Linked DNA regions of Diceros bicornis minor. The protein of the gene in region 1 interacts with the protein of each later gene in a biochemical or structural test. Links are inferred from orthologs where the notes say so. Each region holds a gene or a part of one and is shown on either strand. Other genes may lie near its edges. The genes, in order: PSTPIP1 and PTPN18.

Region 1 (9,956 bases):
AGGATGTGGATCTCAGTAAAACCTGGTCCAGAACTAGATTTTTCCCTCTTAAAACAGTATCCAGTGACTTCTTTGCAAAGGCCATTGGATATATAGATCTGGGAGGGGCGGTGCAGCTCAGAGCACTGCTCCTCTCAGTGCACCCCATGCCTGGCCCAGTTATTAGGGAATCTCAGCCTCCAGCACTGGATGGTGACTTCCTTGAGGGCAGGACAGTCTCATTCATCTGGTTGGATGTGGGGGTGAGGCTCAGGGGTCCAGCTTAGACCACCTAGTGGAGAACCCTGCTCAATAAATATTTGTAGAATATAACTAAAGTGAAATGAAGGAGAAAATGGGTTCAGGAAGGCAGTGGGACCAGGGAGGCCTTCACTGTTTGTTCATTTATTCTACAGACATTGACTGAACACGTGCCCCCCTTGCCAGCCCTGTGCTGAGGATGCAGACAGATGTTTCTTGCAATACAGTTTGGCTGCCTGCTGGGAGCAGAGCCACTGGCAAAGAGAGCTGTGTGTATGGGGGGTGGGGCAGGACCCTGCCTTCTCTGGGCTCCTGTGCCCCTCTGCCTCTGTGCGGAGACAGGTTATCTGAGATCTAAGCCCCTCTCAGCTCGGGCACCTGGTGTTCTCAGCCTCCGCCTTGTCTCTCTGACAGGTCCCGCTCTGAGGCTCAGCCACAAACTTCCTGCAAAGTTGTGATGCTCTTTATCATTGTGTGTGTCTAACAGAAATCAAATTATCCCTTCCCTCTCCCCATGGCTGGCCCACCCCCACCTCACTCCCACAGCAGCCTGCATCTGAATGTTCTGCCACAGATAAAAGCAGGCTATAAATAAATACTGGGTGGCCACACTGACAAAACTGCAAATACAGGCCTACCGAGGGACAGGACTGGTCTGCTCCCACACCGAGTGTTCCCACCACTTCTGAGCCATTATGTCTGCTTTTTACAACGTTTCTGTCTCCTCCCTTGCTATCAGGCTACAGCTACCTGTGAAACTGTCTCTGACAGCTCGGGTCCACCAACATTTATCAATCACCAGCTGTATATCAGGTTCCATGTAGACCCCTCCTAATTGCTGCATCTATAGGTTAAAAGAGCACCTGACCAAGCTCGTTAAAATTGTAGGTAAAATCAGGGTTCCTAGGCTCTAACTAAAAGCTATGTGCCATCTCGTGAATAAAGTGTATGTGCTTTAGCGCAAGCTCTTAGTTTTTCAGAAACCACCATCTTTGCCCCCTTACTGAGAGCTAGTGCCAGAAACAGGGCTGGCTCTCACCTGTGTTCTGGATTTGAGGTTGCCAGACAACTGCAGTGCTACGGCATCAGACATGATCCTTCTTGTTCAGGGGCTTCCTCCCACTATTAAAGACTAGTCATTTTCAAACAGTGTGCAGCCAAGCTGCAGGGTCCAATGGCATTGCCTTGGGCTGGGGAAGGGGGCAGACGGGGGAGGGGGAGGTTGGGCTCTGTCCCTAACACCTGACTGCAGTTAAATCAGTATGTCTGTAAATTGAGCTTCAAAATACTCCTATCAACCTCGTCTGATCTTACTTCTCTGGGAGGTAGGAAGGACAGAATTTTTCTCCCCATTTCACTGATATGGCCCAAAGACCCAGCGATCTGCTATGTTAATTGAGGGATAATGAAGTGCCCCAGGTGCAAGCCCAAGCACTGGAGTCAACATGTCAGTTTAAGCCCAGCTGTGTGACCTTGGGCAAGTTACTTAAGCCCTCTGTGCCTCAACTTCCTCCTCTTAGTAACAGGGATAAGGATAGCATCTACTTCATCACTTTAAATGAGTAGATAGATACACGGTCCTGAGAACAGCATCTGGCACATCTGTAGTGCTCAGTAGTCTTAGTTTTCCTCATGGACTGAGCTGGGCTGAGCCTCAGGAGGAAGTGTTAGAATTCAGAGCCCTGGGAGCAGTGATGCTGACAGTGACCTTCTGGGGCATCTGCCTAGGCTCAGTGTGAGAGGCTCCCACTGGCCACTTCTCTCCCCCTCCCTGCTCTGGCCTTCCCCAGGGAAGCTGTACCCCTAACCCAGGGCTAAGGAGTCAGCAATGGAGGGGAGGAGGCATCCGGAGGCCATGAAGCCCGCAGCGGCTCAGAGGTGGGGCAAGCCTGGGCGGGCTGCCACTCAGGAAGCTACCACAGGTAGGCTGCTTTCTTGCTGCTGCTGCCGCCACACCCTGCTCCCTCATATACCATCCCCTGCTGCCCAGATCCTGCCATGAGGCTGCTCCTTGCCCCAGCTCTGCCCCGGGGAAGATGGGCCCAGATGTCCTGGAGGTAAGACACTTAGGATCTCCTGGCCTGCCCTGGGCTACGGAGCACCCTGGATTTCCAGGCCCTACTTTAACTACACACTTAAAGTCAGAGGTGTGACGTGGTGACTCACCACCCCCCTGTCTTCCCCCACTGCAGCCACCCACCCACACCTGCCAGCCTGATACTTGGGATGGGCCGAGCCAGGTCTGCCTCCATCAGATTCTCCAGGCTGGTTCCAGCCCCTCTTTGAGATGGGGAAATGGAGGCCCAGAGAGGCACAGGGTGCCCTCCCCAGGCAGCCCACTGCCCACTGGGCAATCAGTGCCAGCGAGAAGCAGGCCACTCACACACTGGCCATAGGCTTCAAGCAGAGCGTGGACCGGAAGAGAAGGAAGGCTCATTAGCTCTCATCCTCCTGGCCGTAGGCCCCAGGAAAGGGCCCAGGGAGGGCAGGCTGTTGGCTGAGGCTGAGCTGGCTGAGCAGAGGGCCAAGGAGTCCTCTGCGGGGCTGGAGGAGGGGCACCCTCCGGACAGCCACATTCCTCAACTCTAACCAGAGAGGTCTCCACTTTCCCAGTGAGCCATTAGGGAAAGCCAGAGCTTGAGGAGCAGGCGGGAAGGTTGAGAGACAGCTGGAAAAAAGCTGAGGGGATCTGGGGCTTGCAGGCCGTGTGGCCTGCGCCAAGCCATTTCACCTCTGTGAGCCCGCCAGGGGCCATAATTTCACGGGGAAAGGACTTGATTTGTGCCTGTGCTGAATTTAAGAAAGCAAGCAAGGAATCACCCAGCCCTGCTGCCTCCTCAGAGGACCTCTCAGGTCTTCAAGGAAGAAGGGTGGGTGAGGGGATGAGAATTACCATTTGGCATGCCAGCAAGTTGCCAGGACTTGATGACGTTAGATCGCCTTGTTTAATCCTTCCATTCAGTTGGTATGTTTATTAATATTTATCTCTACTATATAGATGGAGAAAATGAAACTCAGAGAGGTAAAATGACTTGTCCAGACTCTAAATAGCAGAGCCAAGATCCAAGATCAAGTTTGTCTGGTCCCCAAACCCACGACCCCCGCCTTCCTTCGCCTCAAACTCCCACCCATACATTAGACTCCTCTAAAAAGATCCTGCTGTGGAGAGAGGGTCACCCAGCCCTGGGAGCACAGAGGAGATCCCTCATCCACCGTGGTGAGTTTGCAGAGAAATCAGTGGCCCAGGCTAGGACCCCCTTTATCTTACAACTTAGAAAGGACAGTAGCCCAGGTCACCTCCAAGACAAAAATCTTCCAAGACAAAAAACCAACCACTATTTTTTATAAGAAAACCCCCTTCTTGGAGCCACATCCCCATGAACTGCCACAGGAAATTTCAGCCAAGCTGCCCGCCTCCCCCGGGGCCCATTTCACTTGTTCAAAGCCCCAGCCGTCTTCACTCACCCAAAAGGCATCTCTGAACTGAAGCTGGGGCATCATCCTCAGGCGTCTGCCACGGCAAAGCTCACTCTCCTGCCACAGGCAGGGCTGAACAGGGCCAGGAGCCAGGCGCACCGTCCCAGACCCGGCAGGGCTGGCCCAGGCCCCCCCTCCCTGGCCGGCGCCGTCTGCAGTGCCTCAGAAGGCAGCTGCAAGCCAGGGACGCGCTGCTGCGGGAGGAAGAGGACTCAACTTATTTTGTTTGGGGCTAGAATCAGCAGCAAAATGAGGAAGGCGGGGTGCCCAGGGATGGGAGGGCGGGTCCCGGTGTCCGGCCCGGCCCCTGGCCAGCCCCGTGGGGATGAGGACACAGCCCAGGCTGCAGGACTGAGAGGAGTGGCCAGCGGGAGAGGCAGACTGGTGCAGAGGCCAGGTGGGCAGGCAGCCTGAGGCCTGAGCAGGAAGGTTTGTGCAACCTCCTCCGGGGCAGGCACTAGGGCCATCGCCCACAGGAAGTAGAGCTGCTGTGCTCCCCGGCGCAGCCCCGCCTGCCACCTGCCACCCTGCTGCCTGCCTCCTCCACTTGCCCCTTTCTCATGTCCTAGCTGGCCGTTCTCAGAGGCCATCAACTTATGGAGCCTGAGGCCCAGGGAAGGTGTGGGCAAGGAGGGAATCAGGAACCCAGGTGCTGTTGCCCACCACCCAGCCCCACTCCAGACCAGGCCCAGAGATGCTAGACTCTCCACCCCTCACCCACCCATTTGGGAGGGGCTTACCCAGGCCCAGGACATCCCTCTCATTCATCAAACCCTGGCTGCTCAGGGCCCCAAACCATGTCGTACCCTCAAGGAGCTCACGGTCTGGGGGCAGACACAGCTGGGGGCTGGGGGCTGTGGGAGCACAGAGGTGGGATGAGCCGGTAACTAACCAAGGGAGAACAGCATGAGGCCTGATGGGCACTGCTCCCCTCCCCCCAGCTCCAGAGTAGACACTCTGGGGCAAGAAGCCACGCTCTGAAGTTGGAGTCTTCAGGCTGGAAGAATGTGGTTGGACCGAGAGAGACAGGATTATAAAGGCATTGGAAACCCAAACTGAGGCCCCAGTTTTTGTTTTGTCTGGGCCTTACCCTTCAGTGGTTGAGGGACCTTAATCGACCCTCCAACTCTCTGAGCCTCAGTTTCCCCATCTGCCAGCCCCCAGTCTTTGGGAAGGAGACAGTGTTGAGAACATTACTGGAATTTCTGTTTGGTTGGGCAGGTGCTGGGGTCACTGTCTGGTATCTCCTTGGGAAGATCCCTGGGCTGGAGCCCCAGACACAGCTCTGAGGAGCTAGGGCCTGCCCACTCAGCAGAAGGTGCCGGCAGGGGGGCCTGACCCCAGGGTGGGTTGGCAAGAAGGGATGAGTCAGGCTTGTCCACAAATCACCACCCTTGCCACTGCCTCCCCTACCATTGACGGAGGGTGGTAAGACGGATGAGAGCTGCTGCAGAAGAGAGCTAAGCTCCCAAGTGCCAGTTATGTGTGCCCAGGGTTACAGATGGGGCACACCCAAGCTTCTGAAATAGCTGCCCAAGACAGAACACATCAGGGAGAATTGCAGACCAGTGGGGCTGCCCCTGGGAGCCCCCTACCTCCAGAATCCTCGGGTTTGAGTTAATACACACCCTCAGCATTGAAGGCACTCCAGTTGGTTTTTCTGTTGCTTGCAGCTGAAGACAGCTAATGGTGTAAATATCACCTTAAACCCAGAAGGCTAAGTATTGAGGCTGTACCTCATCCCCATGGCATAACCACTTCTGATTGCACTGACTCAGCCTCCCTGGCCTCAGTTTTGTGACCTATCAAATGGGGTGATGCCTCTAGTTCTGGAGGCAGACTAGAAACCCCCTGTTAATAGAAAGCTCCCACTCTCTTATTAGCCAGCCCTGGTGGTCTAGTGGTTAAGATTCGTCGCTCTCACTTCTGTGGCCCAGATTTGTTTCCCTGTCAAGGAACCACACCACCTGTCTGCCGGTTGTCATACTGTTGCGGCTGCGTGTTGCTGTGATGCTGAAAGCTATGCCACTAGTATTTCAAATACCAGCAGGGTCACCCCTGGTGGACAGGTTTCAGCGGAGCTTCCAGACTAAGACAGACTAGGAAGAAGGACCTGGCCACCCACTTGTGAAAAAATTGGCCATGAAAACCCCATGAATAGCAGCAGAGCATTGTCTGACATAGTGCTGGAAGGTGAGAGGAAGGCACAAAAAGACCAGGCAGGGTTCTGCTCTGCTGTACACAGGGTCACTAGGAGTTAAAATTCACTCAGTGGTACTAACAGCAACAAACCCTCTTATTGGCAGAAAATTTCATGGCCAGGCCCCCTCCCCTGCCTCTCCAGGGGTTCTTTTCATCATCCCCCTGAATTTCCACTTCAAACAGGACTTTACCCTCTCCCCAAAGGTACCCTTCCCATCCCTACCTCCACACCTTTGCCCCTTGGTCCCCCAGCCTCCCTCCTGGCATGCCTTCCTTGATCTTCCTGACCTGGGTAAATTCTCCCATCCCTCAAGGCCCCCACATATGAGGCCTTCATTTCCCAACTGCTCTGGTCCAGCCAGGGCAGCCCCAGACGGATGGCATGCTGGTTGTGGGCTGGAGCAATTGGGGAAGGAGTAATGGGAGGCATCTAAGGAGACTCTCAAGTTCTCCGCCACAGAGAAATCTGCCTCCTCCCCTCCCCACCACCCCAGCTTATGCAGCTCCCAAGCCTGTGCCACCAGAACCGCCAGTCAGCTTGGGAGCACTTGCCAAGTGTTGGGAGCACCATTAAGCTTTCTACGTGGGTCACCACGCTTAGCCCTCACCCCATCCTGTGGGGTACACACTATCATCATTCCCACTTCACAGAGGAGCAAACTAGTGATTAAAGAGTTTATGTGACTCACCTAAGGCCTGGCGGCCAGTAAGCAGAGGGCTGGGCTTCGGACCCAGATCTGTCTGATGCCAAAGCCCACGCATGCTGTTAACCTCCACAGCTATCTTTTACCGACAGCCCTCTCTTAACAGTGGGTTTCCCCCTTTCTTTCTCCAGTTCTGCCTCCAGAACATCTCACCCTGATCTACAAGTGGAAAAACTGAGTCCAGGAAGGCTGTTGGGGCTGGCGGTGCTTTTGGGTGAGAGTCCAGCCCTGGTACGTGGTCTTCCAAGTTCACTGTGTTATTTGCACCCGCTAAGGATGCTTTGGCTGCAAGGAACACACAACCAGAGGGTCTGGCATGGAGGAAGTGTGTTATCACCCACACAAGGGATCTGGATGCAGTGTGGCCTCCGGGTGGGGTACATTGGGTCCCCAGCTCAGTTTCTCTGTGATTTTCCTCCATCTCCTATCTTCCTCCTCAGGCTGCAGCAGCTCTGGCTTACAACTCCACACACAGCTACATCTACAGGAAGAGAAGGGACACTTCTCCTTGTGTCTCATTTTCTCCAAAGTCCTCCCCACCCCAGCCTCCCAGGAGACTTTCCCTTGTGTCTCGTTGGCCAGAAGTGAGTCACATACTCATACTTCACCATTATTGGCCTCCCCTGATCCCTTGATTGGGGTGTTATGGATGTTGGGAGCCAACCACCGTGACCACCACAGCCTTCTCTCAACCAGGTCCACAAACACTGCTGGGCACTAACTCCTGCCAGGTCCTGCTGGAGCTAGGGCTCAGAGAGGATATAGACCTAGTCTCCGCCCTGAGGGGTCCACAGACAGGTTCTAGAAAGATCTCTCCGGATGCGAAGTGGCTCAGAGGAGGTGAGACCGGAAGAGGGTGTTGTAATAACTCTGAGAGAGGGATGAGGCCTGGATGGGGCAACTGGGGTGGGGGGGATGGGTTGGTGGGACATCGGGGAGGTGGAGGAGCAGGATGGAGACATCTGAGTGTCCCTCCCAGAAAAGGGAACTGTTCTCCAGCCTCCCTCCTTCACCAGCCCCCCGGGGAGGGAAATCCAGTCCTGAAAATCATAGCTTTTTAACGACTGTTCCAGCTGCTTCAAAACACAATTTGCCTTGAGGTCTGGGCTGCTGCACCTCAGGCCAGGCTGTCACTCTTTTTTTAAGGGGGCGTCCCCCTGTGCAGGCAGAGCCCCATCCTGTTTTGCATGGGATTTGAACACATCTGCTTGAAGAATTCAAAAAGTAGTAGGTCCAAGGATTGAGAATAAAATGTGAAATCAGTTTTTACAACATCAATCACCACAGCCAGTCACCTGGCAGGGCTCAGCTCCTGAAGCCACTTCATCCATTCTTTTGAGCCAAATAAGCAACAAAAACAATAGTGCTAGCCACCACTAAGGGAGTATTAATACCTGCAGGGCCTGCATGTATTTTACATGCTTGATCTCATCGATTGCTCGCTACCAGGACCAGCTGTATAATTTGTGAGGTCAATGCAAAATGAAAATGTGGGGCCTCTTACTAAAAAAGTAAGGGAAAAAATTGCCATTAAACTATTAAAATAGAAAGCTTTTTCCTTTGCCATGTTCTCTCGACCTGTCATGGTGCTTTATTTGCTATTTAATGTTTCCACTCCTTTGGGCAGGGTATACTTGTGGGACAAGCACTCTCCACGTCTTGACTAGCATCTTCTGGGTTTGTCCTTCCGCCAGCCACCAGATTGCATTCCCCAGCTGGGGGCAGCAAAGTCGAGCCAGGCATCTCCCTTACCCATGGTGGATGGCAATCCCCAAGGGTATCACAAACTCATGCCAGGATGCACTAGGTATGTAGGTGAGGAGTGGGCAAGAGACTCACCCCCTTGAGTCACCTGCCAAATGTGGCATGGTGCTGTCAGCCCAGGGCAGGGACAGCCACCACCGTGCTCCATCCTGAGATGCCACCAGGCAACCCTGAGCCTCCCCACACCTGCACCCAGGTCCCTGCTGGGGGCAGAGGGTGGCAGTGGTTGCTAGGCAGGAGTGGGGAGCTAGTAGGAGGCAGGATCACACATGAGCCGAGGCTCCGAGCCCTTGATGCGTGCTTCATTGTCGCATCAGACTTCACTTACAAAACACAAATTCAAAGATAACATTAGTAAGATTTTCAAGACGGCAACCACAGAGCATTAAGCCCCAAGTGCAAACCCCTTCTGAGCAACAGAGCCCTGTGTAACTGCATTAGTTCACATTCCTGAAGCCAACACTTCACTACTGTCTGTTCTTCACACAGTGGGGGACATTTTCAGACCCAAATTTGATCGTGTACCTTCCCGTTGTCACCTTGCTATGCTTTTCCATTGTTCTCAAGACAACAGTCATTGTCCTTACATAGCCTATAGACCCTGCATGATCCGGTCCCAGCTACCCTTCAACCTCATCTCATACAGGAAGAATCTGAAGCATTAGATTGGAGCCTTCTAGAGAGGGGAAGGGGCTGCAGAGAAGGAGCATCTCAAAGCTCCTTGGTGACATCAGGAAGCCAGAAGGCCCTTACCATGAATTTCATGTGGAAACGGCAATGCCACTGGGCCGAGGGACATTTGTTTTGTCCCTTTCAGTGCTAACATGCTGTCTTGATATCTGCCGTTCACTAGGCAGTCCAAGCAACACATGTATCCTTCCTTCCTGGAAGAGCCAAGGGCACTGCCAAGTTACTGGCCATGGCTGTCAGGTGCCCGCCTAGTCCAGGGCTGAACTGGAATGTTCCTGGACCTGAACACTGTGATCTACTGTTCCTGGGGGAAATGTCTGCACGGTCCCTCCAGGTAGCTAGAGGCACATGTCCACTGGGTTGGGGCTCCTACTCTTAACCCTACTTGCCCTGCCCGGCATGGAAGGAGCCCCACCACAGTGCACCAATGGGCATTTACTGAGCCTTCCTGTCTGGGGACTTGGAAATGAACAAGGCACGGCTCCTGCCAGTCTGGTGGGGAGGCAGCCCAGGAGGGGAAATGTGCTGAGTGGCAGGCAGCAGTGTGCACAATCAGAGAGAAGCCCTGCTGAGAAGCTGGCCTGGGAAGTCCTCCTGCAGAAGGAGAGCTGCAGCCTGATTAAGGAGAAGGAACTCACCAGAAGGAACTTACCAGTGAGGCCAGGCTGGAAGGGAGTTCCAGAATAATTGTAATAGCCTGCGGGGGTCTCACTGCCCAGGGCCCTGTGCTAAACATTTCACATGCCTTAGGTCTCACTTAATCCAGCAGATAAGAAAATGGAGGCTCAGAGAGGTCAGTTAATTGTCAGAGTCCCATCCTAAGTGGGGTCTTTCCTTCCTAGAATATGGGGCTGGAGGTGAGGGGTCAGCCCAGGGTCT
Region 2 (9,542 bases), on another chromosome or scaffold:
CTGCAGTATAGGGCCTTATGGTCTATGGTGCAGTATGGGGTGGGAAGACTGGCAGGAGAGGGGTTGCCAACACTGGAGGGAGGCACTGCATGGATAAAAGGGAAAAGATCAACAACAAATTAAAGAGAGTAATAGTGGGCTTTCAACAAAGCTACAGTGAGGTCACTCCAAGAACTGGACCCTTGAGTCATGGGATCAGGGAGGAGCTAGCAAGATTTCTCCTGCCACCCGCCTGGACGAGGAAAGGCATTCTAGAGGTAGACAACACCTACCCGCCCATTCTCCGTCTCTCCACACGCCATCAGGATCACCTAGACAAGAGGAGTCAGGGGAGAGGGAGGTGATTTGGATTAGGGGGTGGGGGAAATGGGGTGAAGGGAGGACTCAGAACCCAGGCCCCACCTCACACTCCCCCAAAGCTGACCTTGACTCCAAACTCCCAGACCATGCGCCAGAAGTCTAGCAAGGTGTGAGGCAGGGGGCCCTGCGTGGCGATGTAGGCCTGGCTTCCGTCTGTGCCCTGGTAAAGGCTGAGTTCACTACCGAGGTCCCGCGGTTGCCCCCACCACAGCCGCCCCTTTCCTGACTCCCAGCCTGACCCGGATGAAGTTGCCATTGATGTAGTCGCCGTGTCCCTCCTCCTGGAGCAGAGAGAGGATCACTCTTGTCTGATCATCTGCCAGCGGGAGAGGTGAGAAACGTGTAGTTTGGGGGTGACAGGGGCATCAAGGCCCTGACAGGCTCCTGCATGAAAGCCAGCATGGGGCAGCACACCTCGCAAGGATCCCCCTGGGGGGCACTCCGGGCTGCTCGGGAGAAATGCAGCCGCGGCAAAGCTCTGGGAGAGAGAGCGCTGCAGTATACGGTGACCCTGGACTGCACGGGGTGGGGGGCGAGTGCGGAGCCGCACCAACTCCTCGGAAGCCCCCGACTTACATGGCAGCACGTCTTTGTAGCGGTTCTTTCTCACGTTCCCTGGCCGACTGCCAGCCTCGGTGGAGCACAGGTTGCTACTCTTCCAGGCGGCTGAGCGGGCCCGGATGTCCTGGCGGGAGGCACCGTGAGCGACCGGGAGGAGAGAGGAGCCAGGTCAGAGTCCAGGCTGATTGTAATGATACAATAATAACAGCGGCTCAGAGCGCCTTCTCTGTGCTAAGGGCACTGAATCATCACAAGGTCCCTCTGAAGTGGGTTCTATTACCGACGTCCCCATTGTGCTGGGGGAGAAAGCTGGCGCACCACATGGCTGAGAGACTTGCAGAAAGTCCCACCCAAAGTGGAAGTGGCACAGTGAGGGTTGAACTCAGACCTCTCAGCATCCACTCCGTATTACACTGTATTGTAATACACTAATTGTAATGTATTATGTATTTAATAGAACAAACACGATATGATATATATGACAATATACAATGTGTATGAATTATAATGTATAACATTATTTATGTAACAAGATACTATAGGTACTTTATTATTGTTAGATTATTACAATTAGTGAATAGTACATTACCATCATCATCAGTTATTCATAATCATGGCGACATAAGTAACAGCTACCAAGCCACCAGTGGGTTTGAGCCACCATTCTAAGTGCTTTACTTGTGCCCATCCTGTCATTTAAAAACTCATGGACATCCTAGTGTAGTGGGGACCACTATTGATGTTTCTACTATACAGATGAGGAAACCACCACCCAGAAAGGCCTAAAGACTCCTGTGAGTGCAGGCACTGCCCACCACCTGGCCCTCGGACCAGGGGTCCTCAGCAGGGCTCACTGTCCCAGACTGGGCCAGACCGGATGGGCATGACACTGTATGCCACCTGGGTATTATATGTTTACATTTACTAGATACATTTTCATATTGAACAAATGATATATTTTGCATTTATTATACATTTCTTAGATACAGTATCTTTTTATATTTGTGTAAATTACTTAGATTTATATTATAGTACTTTTATCTATGTGTTACATATTTTATATTTACTTAGGAACTTATTGAATAACTGCTTATTTTATAAATTATAATTTTATATGCTGTATTTATGTTCTGTTGTTTTATGAAGTTAAATGTTTATTGAGTAAATTGTAATTTAAAATCATTAATTTTACATAGTCACTGTATTTTATACTTAAAATTAATAAATTTGTTTCTATTATCTATTTTTATCATACTTAGTGATTATAGTCATTTATTATATAAAGTATTTATATCATATATTTATCAAACATTTTTATATATTTATTATATATCACATCTTTCTAAATTTGATATATGTCACCATATATTGCATTTACATACTTGCATAGCATATGTCTATATTTGTTACATAAGTTACTGTATTTAAAACATCTCATTAGGCGTGGTATGCAGTGCCTATCACGCTGCAATAGCATTCCTTAAGTGTGGCTTGCACTACCTCATTGTAATGTTTAGAATATTTATAACTAATGACAAAGGCTCCTACAAAGTGAGCGCTCAAGATGTGCTAAGCGCTTTTTACCCATCCCAGTTATTTAATCCTTTAAATCTTTAACGTCCCTATTTCACCCAAAGAGAAACAGAGGCCAGAGGGGCTGGGTAATCCGCCCCGGGCCACAAAGCCGACAAGAGGACAGTGTCCACACCCTCGGCGCACAGGGCCTCTTGGTTCTTCTTCCCCCAGCCCCTCCCTTCCCAAGACCACAGAGGTGACCGCCGGGTCGCCTGGAGCGCAGGTGCGCGCCCGCCCTCCCCAGCCGCCCCGCCCAGCCGCGGGATTGTTCCGAGCGCTACGAGGGCACGGGGACCCGAGGGTGTCTGCGGCCCCGCCCAGCCTGGCCGTGGACTTCGCCCTCCGGGGCCCTGCGGGCGGAGAGTGACGACAGGGAGAGAGCGCGACAGAGAGAGGTGCTGGGGAAAGAAAAATAGACCTCGAGGAGAGGAGACGCCGCTAGACGCCAAGAGAGGGGCAAAGCGCAGCAGGGCGCACGGAAGAGACGTCCGGAGAGTCCAGGGCGAGGAGCCAGAGAGCACCGCGCGGCCGTCCACACTCGCCCACTCACGCTGAACTCGCTGGCAAGGATCGCCCCCTCCCGGCCGCCCCGCGCCTCCAGCTGCTCCACGAAACTCCGTGCCGCGTCCAAGCTTCGGCTCATGGCGCCGCTGGCCAGCGAGATCCGCTCCGCCGCTGCGTTCGGTGCTCTCAGCGAGTGTAGACAGTGCTGGAGGCGGACTGCCTCCTTTCTCGCCAGTCAATGGAAGCGCGCAGCGGCCGGCAGGGCGCGCCCCTCGGCCAATGACATTGAGAGGCCACTCCTGCCCCGCCCACAGGCGTCCGGACCCGGGCGGTGCCAGAGCCCTGGGTCCTCTCCGGCTGCGCCGGGGAAGTGAGTCCAGCGCGAGTGCTTCCCTTTTCGTGGCCGCCGCGCCGGCTGGCTGAGTCCGCAGAGTCCCACGACACTCCCTCATGCTTGGGCCCAGGATTCGCGGCCAGGACGACCTCCCTGCGAGTCCGGCGCTGGGTGAACGGTCACGCGCCCTAGCCTGGCTTCCCGGACTGTCTCCTGGGAGCTAGGCTGGCTCGGCGTCCGAGCCAGGGTGGGTCGGCAGCTATGAATGGAGAGGGCCGCCGAGGTCGAGCTGCAGCTTCTGCGTCGGGGCCCCCGGGCGGGTGGAGTCCGCGCTGTGCGCTCCGACGGGGTTCGAGGGAGGTCAGGCGGGGTAGCCGCGGGGAAAAATGACATTGCGGCACCTGTGCTGTGGGAAAGACCGAGTGGAGGCGAATGCTTCCGTATTGATGTATTTCCTGAGGTTCCTTCTTTTTCTGGGTCAGGCTGGGTGGGGGCACCAGGATCCAGTCCTAATTTGAGGAGTTCAACCCGCAAAAACCTGGTGTGAAACTGAGAACTGAGGCCCTGGAAGTGGGTTCCAGGGGACAAGACGTTCTCAACACTTTTTTGTGTGTGTGTGTGAGCAAGATCAGTCCTGAGCTAACATCCATGCCAATCCTCCTCTTTTTGCTGAGGAAGACCAGCTCTGAGCTAACATCTATTGCCAATCTGCCTCCGGTTCCCCCCCGCCCCAAGCCCCAGTAGATAGTTGTATGTCATGGTTGCACGCAGCCTCAGCATGGCCGGAGAGGCGGTGTGTTGGTGCGTGCCCAGGATCCGAAACCCGGCCGCCAGTAGCAGAGCGCGTGCACCCAATCGCTATACCACGGGGCGGCCCCTCTCAACACTTCTAAAGAGCTTCTGTTTTCTTCTCTCCCTGCACCCTCATCTTGAGAAAATGTGCAGGAAAAGGCCAGAGTACAACTGCTGCTCCAGCTTGGGGGGTCACCAAGGGAAGAGAGAGCAGAGAGGAGCCTCAAGGCCCGGCCAAGGACGGGCCTGGCTAGATGGTCTAGCCCACACCTCACCCGGGTCATGGAATGAATTTCGGGGAGGGGTGTCTTTGGATAGGGTGTCTGTGAAGTCTAGTTTGAGGTCACTGAGGTGTCGAAGGGTGACCACCGGGTGAGGTGAACTTACTTTCAGGCACTGAGGAGTCAACAAGGTCATTGGTTCAGGTTGTGGATTGAATTCATTAGGGGGTTATCAGAGCATTGTCAGGGATGGGCAAATTCTTTCTTAAAGGGCGTTGGTCTCTAGTCTCTGTCCCAGCTACTCAACTCTGCTTTGGCAGTGTGAAAGAAGCCACAGGCAATATGTAAAGGAATGAGTGTGGCTATATCCAATAAAACTTTGTTTTTGGACACAAATTTTAATTTCATGTGTCATATATATATATATGTATATATATATGCAGGCTGTGGTTTGCTGACCCCAGTTTAAGTGACTGAGAGGTCACTTAAAGTGGGTCAGTGGGGATGTTTCATTTGTTGAGGGGCTAGTGGGGGTCACCGTGGACTCAGTGTTTATCAGTTTCATCTTTGAGTGTTCAAAGGTGATCAGTAGTGATCACTGAGGATGGACATTGACAGTGAATTCACTGGAGGTAGTGGGAGTCCTTGGATGTTCATGAGGGACCGTCAGTGGATGTTAATGGCAGTCTTTGGGAGGTCAGTGAGAGAGAGTGAAAGTGAGGACTCATTGGGATTTGGAGTACTTTAGTTACTTTACTTACTTAAAGTAACTTCAGTTAGGGTTAGGGTTAGGTTAGGTCAGTTACTTTAAGTAACTGAAGAGTCAAAAGAAGGGAAGGTCATTGAGGGCTCCTACTCAGGGCATGACAGGGAAATGTGGAATCACTGAGATTTTGTGGATAGTCATGGGTTGTTGGAAACTCAGGGTGGTGGGATACAGAAGTATCAGTGATCTCTGAGAAAATATGGAGACTGTTGAGTTCCTGAGTACTTATGGACACTAATGGTAGTCATTCGAGACTAGTGGATACCACAGTAAACAGGGAAGAGTCTCTGAGGCGTCATGAAGGTCTTTGTGGACCCTAGTGGTAGTGGATGTTATTAGAGGTCAAAGTCACTGGAAACTGGTGGTACCTGGGGAGCAGAAACAACATTGAGGGGTCAGTGGGCCATCCAGATCATCTATTGGTGGTGACTAGGGTTTGGCTAGCTGGGGATCTTCTGTCTGACTGATGGGGTGGGTGTATCTATCTATCTGTCCACTTGGCTTGAGGGTCTGTCTATCCAGCTGGCTTGGGAGGCTCTGTCTATCCCGCTGAGGGCCTGACTTTCTCATCGGCTGGGGTCTCTCTTACTGGCAGAAGGTACGTCTGTCAAGCTGAGAGTCTGGCCGGCTAGTTGACTAGGTGGATGGGGTGTCTTTCTGCTTGGGTAACATCTCTTTGTCCAGTTGGGAGGTTCTGTCTGTCCTTGAGGGATTGCGTTTGATTGGCTGCGGTCACCTTCCAATTGGCTGGAGTGGAGAGTGTCCATGTGTCTGGCCACATGTCTTTCTGGATCTGGGGATCTTCCCATCTGTGCAAGAATCTGTCCATTTGTCTGGCTGGATGTCCCACTGGAGTCTGTCTCCCTGGGATTCTGTTCATCTACAAGTCTGTCTGTATGTCTGGGGATCTTTCTGCCTATCTGGCTGAGATCTTATGGCCTATGAACCATGGTGGTTCACCTTCCAGCGAGGTTAGGTGTCCTTCTGGCTGCATGTCCACCCCACCCCACGGCCCCATCTCACTGTTTATCCTGCTTGCCCTCCTGACACTGACCATCCTCCCATGCCTCTCCAAACATCCCGACTCTCCGGGCTTGCCCTTCACTCAGCTCAGGCTGGGTGTGGGCGATGTGCAGACTCTCAAGACCTCCTCCAGCAGCCCTGGCCCACCCCACTTCCCTTCTCCCAGAGGACTGCAAGCTGTTTTCTTACAATGGGACTCGCTACTGCTGGTGGCCCTCTTGTTCACCCTACTGGCGGCAATCCTGTGCAGCAGTAGCAGCTGGCACTGCCCCTGTAGATCCTGAGCACCCTGATGCCCACATGCCACATGCCAGTCTGCTACCTGCTTGCCAGCTCAGAGTGCTTGCTGAACTGGCCACTCAATAGAGCCAAGTGGACAGGGTGCTGGAGGGCGCTGGGGGAAGCTTTTGCAGTGCTATGAGGAACTCAGCCTGTGCTGATGTTGCAAGGGGGAAAATCGTAACTTTACAGTGGAGAAACCTGGCAGATATTACCTCAACCCTGTGTTGGGTCACAACCTCAGAGGCATTGTCCCAAGTGTAATCTGAAACCAGCCCTCCCCACTCCCCCCCCCGCCCCCCCCCAACACACAGAGAGAGCAAGGAGAGACTGAAGAGGCAGACTACTCCAGATTGGTAGGTGGTGGGTTTAATAAACAAGGGAACTTACTTATGAGGCTTGTCTTGGGCTGCTGCAAGATGAGTAGATTTCCACACCTGCCCGCCAGAAGCTTAAAAGCTTTTATAGAGGCCTTACCTGGGGTGCCATGTACACCGTCCAGACGGTCTCAACACCACATTGCTCTCTCAAGGCTCTGTCCTTCTGGGAGCGGAAAGTCAAGTAGAACCCACATTCCAAGGACAGGGGAGGGGGTGAGGAGCCTCTGATTGCCTGGGTCCAGCTCACAGGTCAACCGGTAGTCACATCCTCTCGATGACCTTGCCCAATACCCAGGAGTGGAGATACTCTGAGGCTCCTGACATCCTCGTTGTATAGTTCTTATCTGGCTTCATTTTTTGGCTTAGCAAAAAAGAGCAGAAGAAATTTGAAAAAATCCTCTCACTGCAACACTCTGTTAAGAACCTGTGGGCTGGGGCCGGCCCCGTGGCTTAGCAGTTAACTGCGTGCACTCCGCTGCTGGCGGCCCGGGGTTCAGATCCCGGGCGCGCACCGACGCACCGCTTCTGGGGCCACACTGACGCCGTGTCCCACATACAGCAACTAGGATGTGCAGCTATGACATACAACTACCTACTGGGGCTTAGGGGGAAAAATAAATAAGTAAATAAAATTAAAAAAAAAAAAAAAAAAGAACCTGTGGGCTGAATGGACTGACCTGTTGACCCATCCACAAATCTGGCATTTGGCAAATAGGAAAAATGCCACTCATTGCAGTTACAAGTGGAAGCTGGCGTCCATCAGGGATTGGAGCTAACTGCCTTTGGGAGGGCTTTTGTTACGTTCTCCTCCAACTCTCCTCAGGGTTTCACTGTTTTGAATCAAGGATCCCTCCTGGTCCCTGTCTGGCAAAAGGTCAGCAGCTCAGAGTGGGGGAGCATGCACAAGGAGAAAGCCACGCTCCTCCTTCTCAGTCCTGCTGCCACCACTCCAGCCTATCCCTTTGTGAAGGCTGGGTCTCTGCCCTCAGGAACTGCCCTGGAGGCACGGAGATGGAAAGCCCTTTTTCCCATCTTTAGAAAATGACACCCTTAAAATGTTCATACCAACTTTTCCCCAGGCTGGCCCCACATCTTCCAGAGCAGAGCCTGGGCATCTTCATCACCCAGAGCAAGCTCCAGCTGCCAGAACAAGCCTTGCGAGGAAATAAACTCAGCCCTGGGCTCTCTGAGCTGACAGCTCAGGCTCCTGTGAGCTCCAGGCAAAGAAATGCTCTGACAGTGATGTGGGTAGTAGCATCCTGGGGCCTCTGGTCAGGCTGCCCTGTGTCCTTGGCTTGCAGTTTCTACACCTGATTTTAGCCCAGCACAAGCACACCTCTGTGTGCAGCACTTTATTTGGAAAAGACCAACTGGCCACATTCTTCTTCTTCTCTCTTTTTTTTTTTTTTTGCTGAGGAAGATTCGCAGAGCTAACATCTGTTTCTAATCGTCCTTATTTTGCTGAGGAAGATTAGCCCTGAGCTAACGTCTGGCCACATTCTTTTAAGCTTAGGCTGGCTGGGGTCCTGCACAGCTCAGAGCCCTGCTGTGGGTGCTGAACGCAAACCCACAGCATCACAACAGCCAAAGGGAGGTATGATCTGTCTGCATTGGCTTCTGCCACCCAATTATAAAACCAGAGAGAAGTAAGTACACATACATGTCTGGGTAAGCATTAACATCTCTGAAAGCATTCCTGTAATGAGACTGAGGGCAGGGGCATCTCACTGCTTGCTGCTGCTGCTGGGTGTTGTGAAGTCCTAGTCAATGCACTGTGGCAAGGAAAAAAGAGGAAGGGTCTGTCGAAAACACTGTAACAGGCATATGTCATAATCAGCTAGAAAGTTCTAGAAAATCTTATGGAAAACCATAAGGACTTACAAGAAAATTTAATAAGGTATCTAGTTAAAATATAATACACACACATATCATACATATACACACACAAAAATCACTTTCCTATATACAAGCAATAATAAATTTGAAACTCTAATGCCAAAAAGATTTCATATTAATTTCTTGAAAAATAGGCACCAAGTTTCACACCGCTAGTGAATTAATGGAGCTAAGCAATGATATTAATGTCTGCTAACATCACAAAAATGACACCCAGACATTATGAGCCTCCTGGGGAAAGAACACAGCACTTCATCAAGTATTCTTACCAAAAATGTTTAAACCTGTACCTGTACCTCTAGTTCTAAATATTAATTCAGAGGAAATACAAGGGCACAGGAAAATGTTAAATGATACCACAGGGATAAGATCAGAGACATCCAGGCTGTGGAAACTCCACAAGACAAACCAGTTACCCAATTGAATAAATTACAAAGAAAAAAAAAAAAAAAGAGAGAATCCTATAGGTTAAAAGAGACTTATGACTTACACACAAATGCTCATAGCAGTATATTACTCAATAGCCCAAAAGTGGAAACGACTCAAATTTTGTAAAGTGATGAATGGATAAATAAAATGTAGTACATATATACAATGGAATATTATTCAGCAATAAAAAGAAATGAAGGGGTCGGCCCTGCGGCGTAGCGGTTAAGTGCACACGCTCCACTGCTGGCAGCCGGGGTTCGGATCCTGGGCACGCACCGACGCACCGCTTGTCAGGCCTTGCTGTGGTGGTGTCCCATATAAAGTGGAGGAACATGGGCACAGATGTTAGCCCAGGACCAGTCTTCCTCAGCAAAAAGAGGAGGATTGGCATGGATGTTAGCTCAGGGCTGATCTTCCTCACA

What was found.
Region 2: the proteins of PSTPIP1 (region 1) and PTPN18 form a complex in vitro, tested with the Homo sapiens proteins (2 studies listed by BioGRID and IntAct). The link is inferred for Diceros bicornis minor from reciprocal best matches to the Homo sapiens genes PSTPIP1 and PTPN18.

The regions. Positions count from the first base shown.
Region 1 is NC_080744.1:69,297,124-69,307,079, forward strand, and holds the start of PSTPIP1 (proline-serine-threonine phosphatase-interacting protein 1), read right to left. Parts: upstream 4,139-9,956; 5' UTR 3,742-4,138; coding exon 3,706-3,741; intron 3,231-3,705; exon of another isoform or gene 3,137-3,230; coding exon of another isoform or gene 3,134-3,136; intron 1-3,133. UniProt on the Homo sapiens protein: Involved in regulation of the actin cytoskeleton. May regulate WAS actin-bundling activity. Bridges the interaction between ABL1 and PTPN18 leading to ABL1 dephosphorylation.
Region 2 is NC_080749.1:2,118,813-2,128,354, reverse strand, and holds the start of PTPN18 (tyrosine-protein phosphatase non-receptor type 18), read right to left. Parts: upstream 3,642-9,542; 5' UTR 3,140-3,641; coding exon 3,047-3,139; intron 1,046-3,046; coding exon 937-1,045; intron 677-936; coding exon 600-676; intron 521-599; coding exon 425-520; intron 312-424; coding exon 273-311; intron 1-272. UniProt on the Homo sapiens protein: Differentially dephosphorylate autophosphorylated tyrosine kinases which are known to be overexpressed in tumor tissues.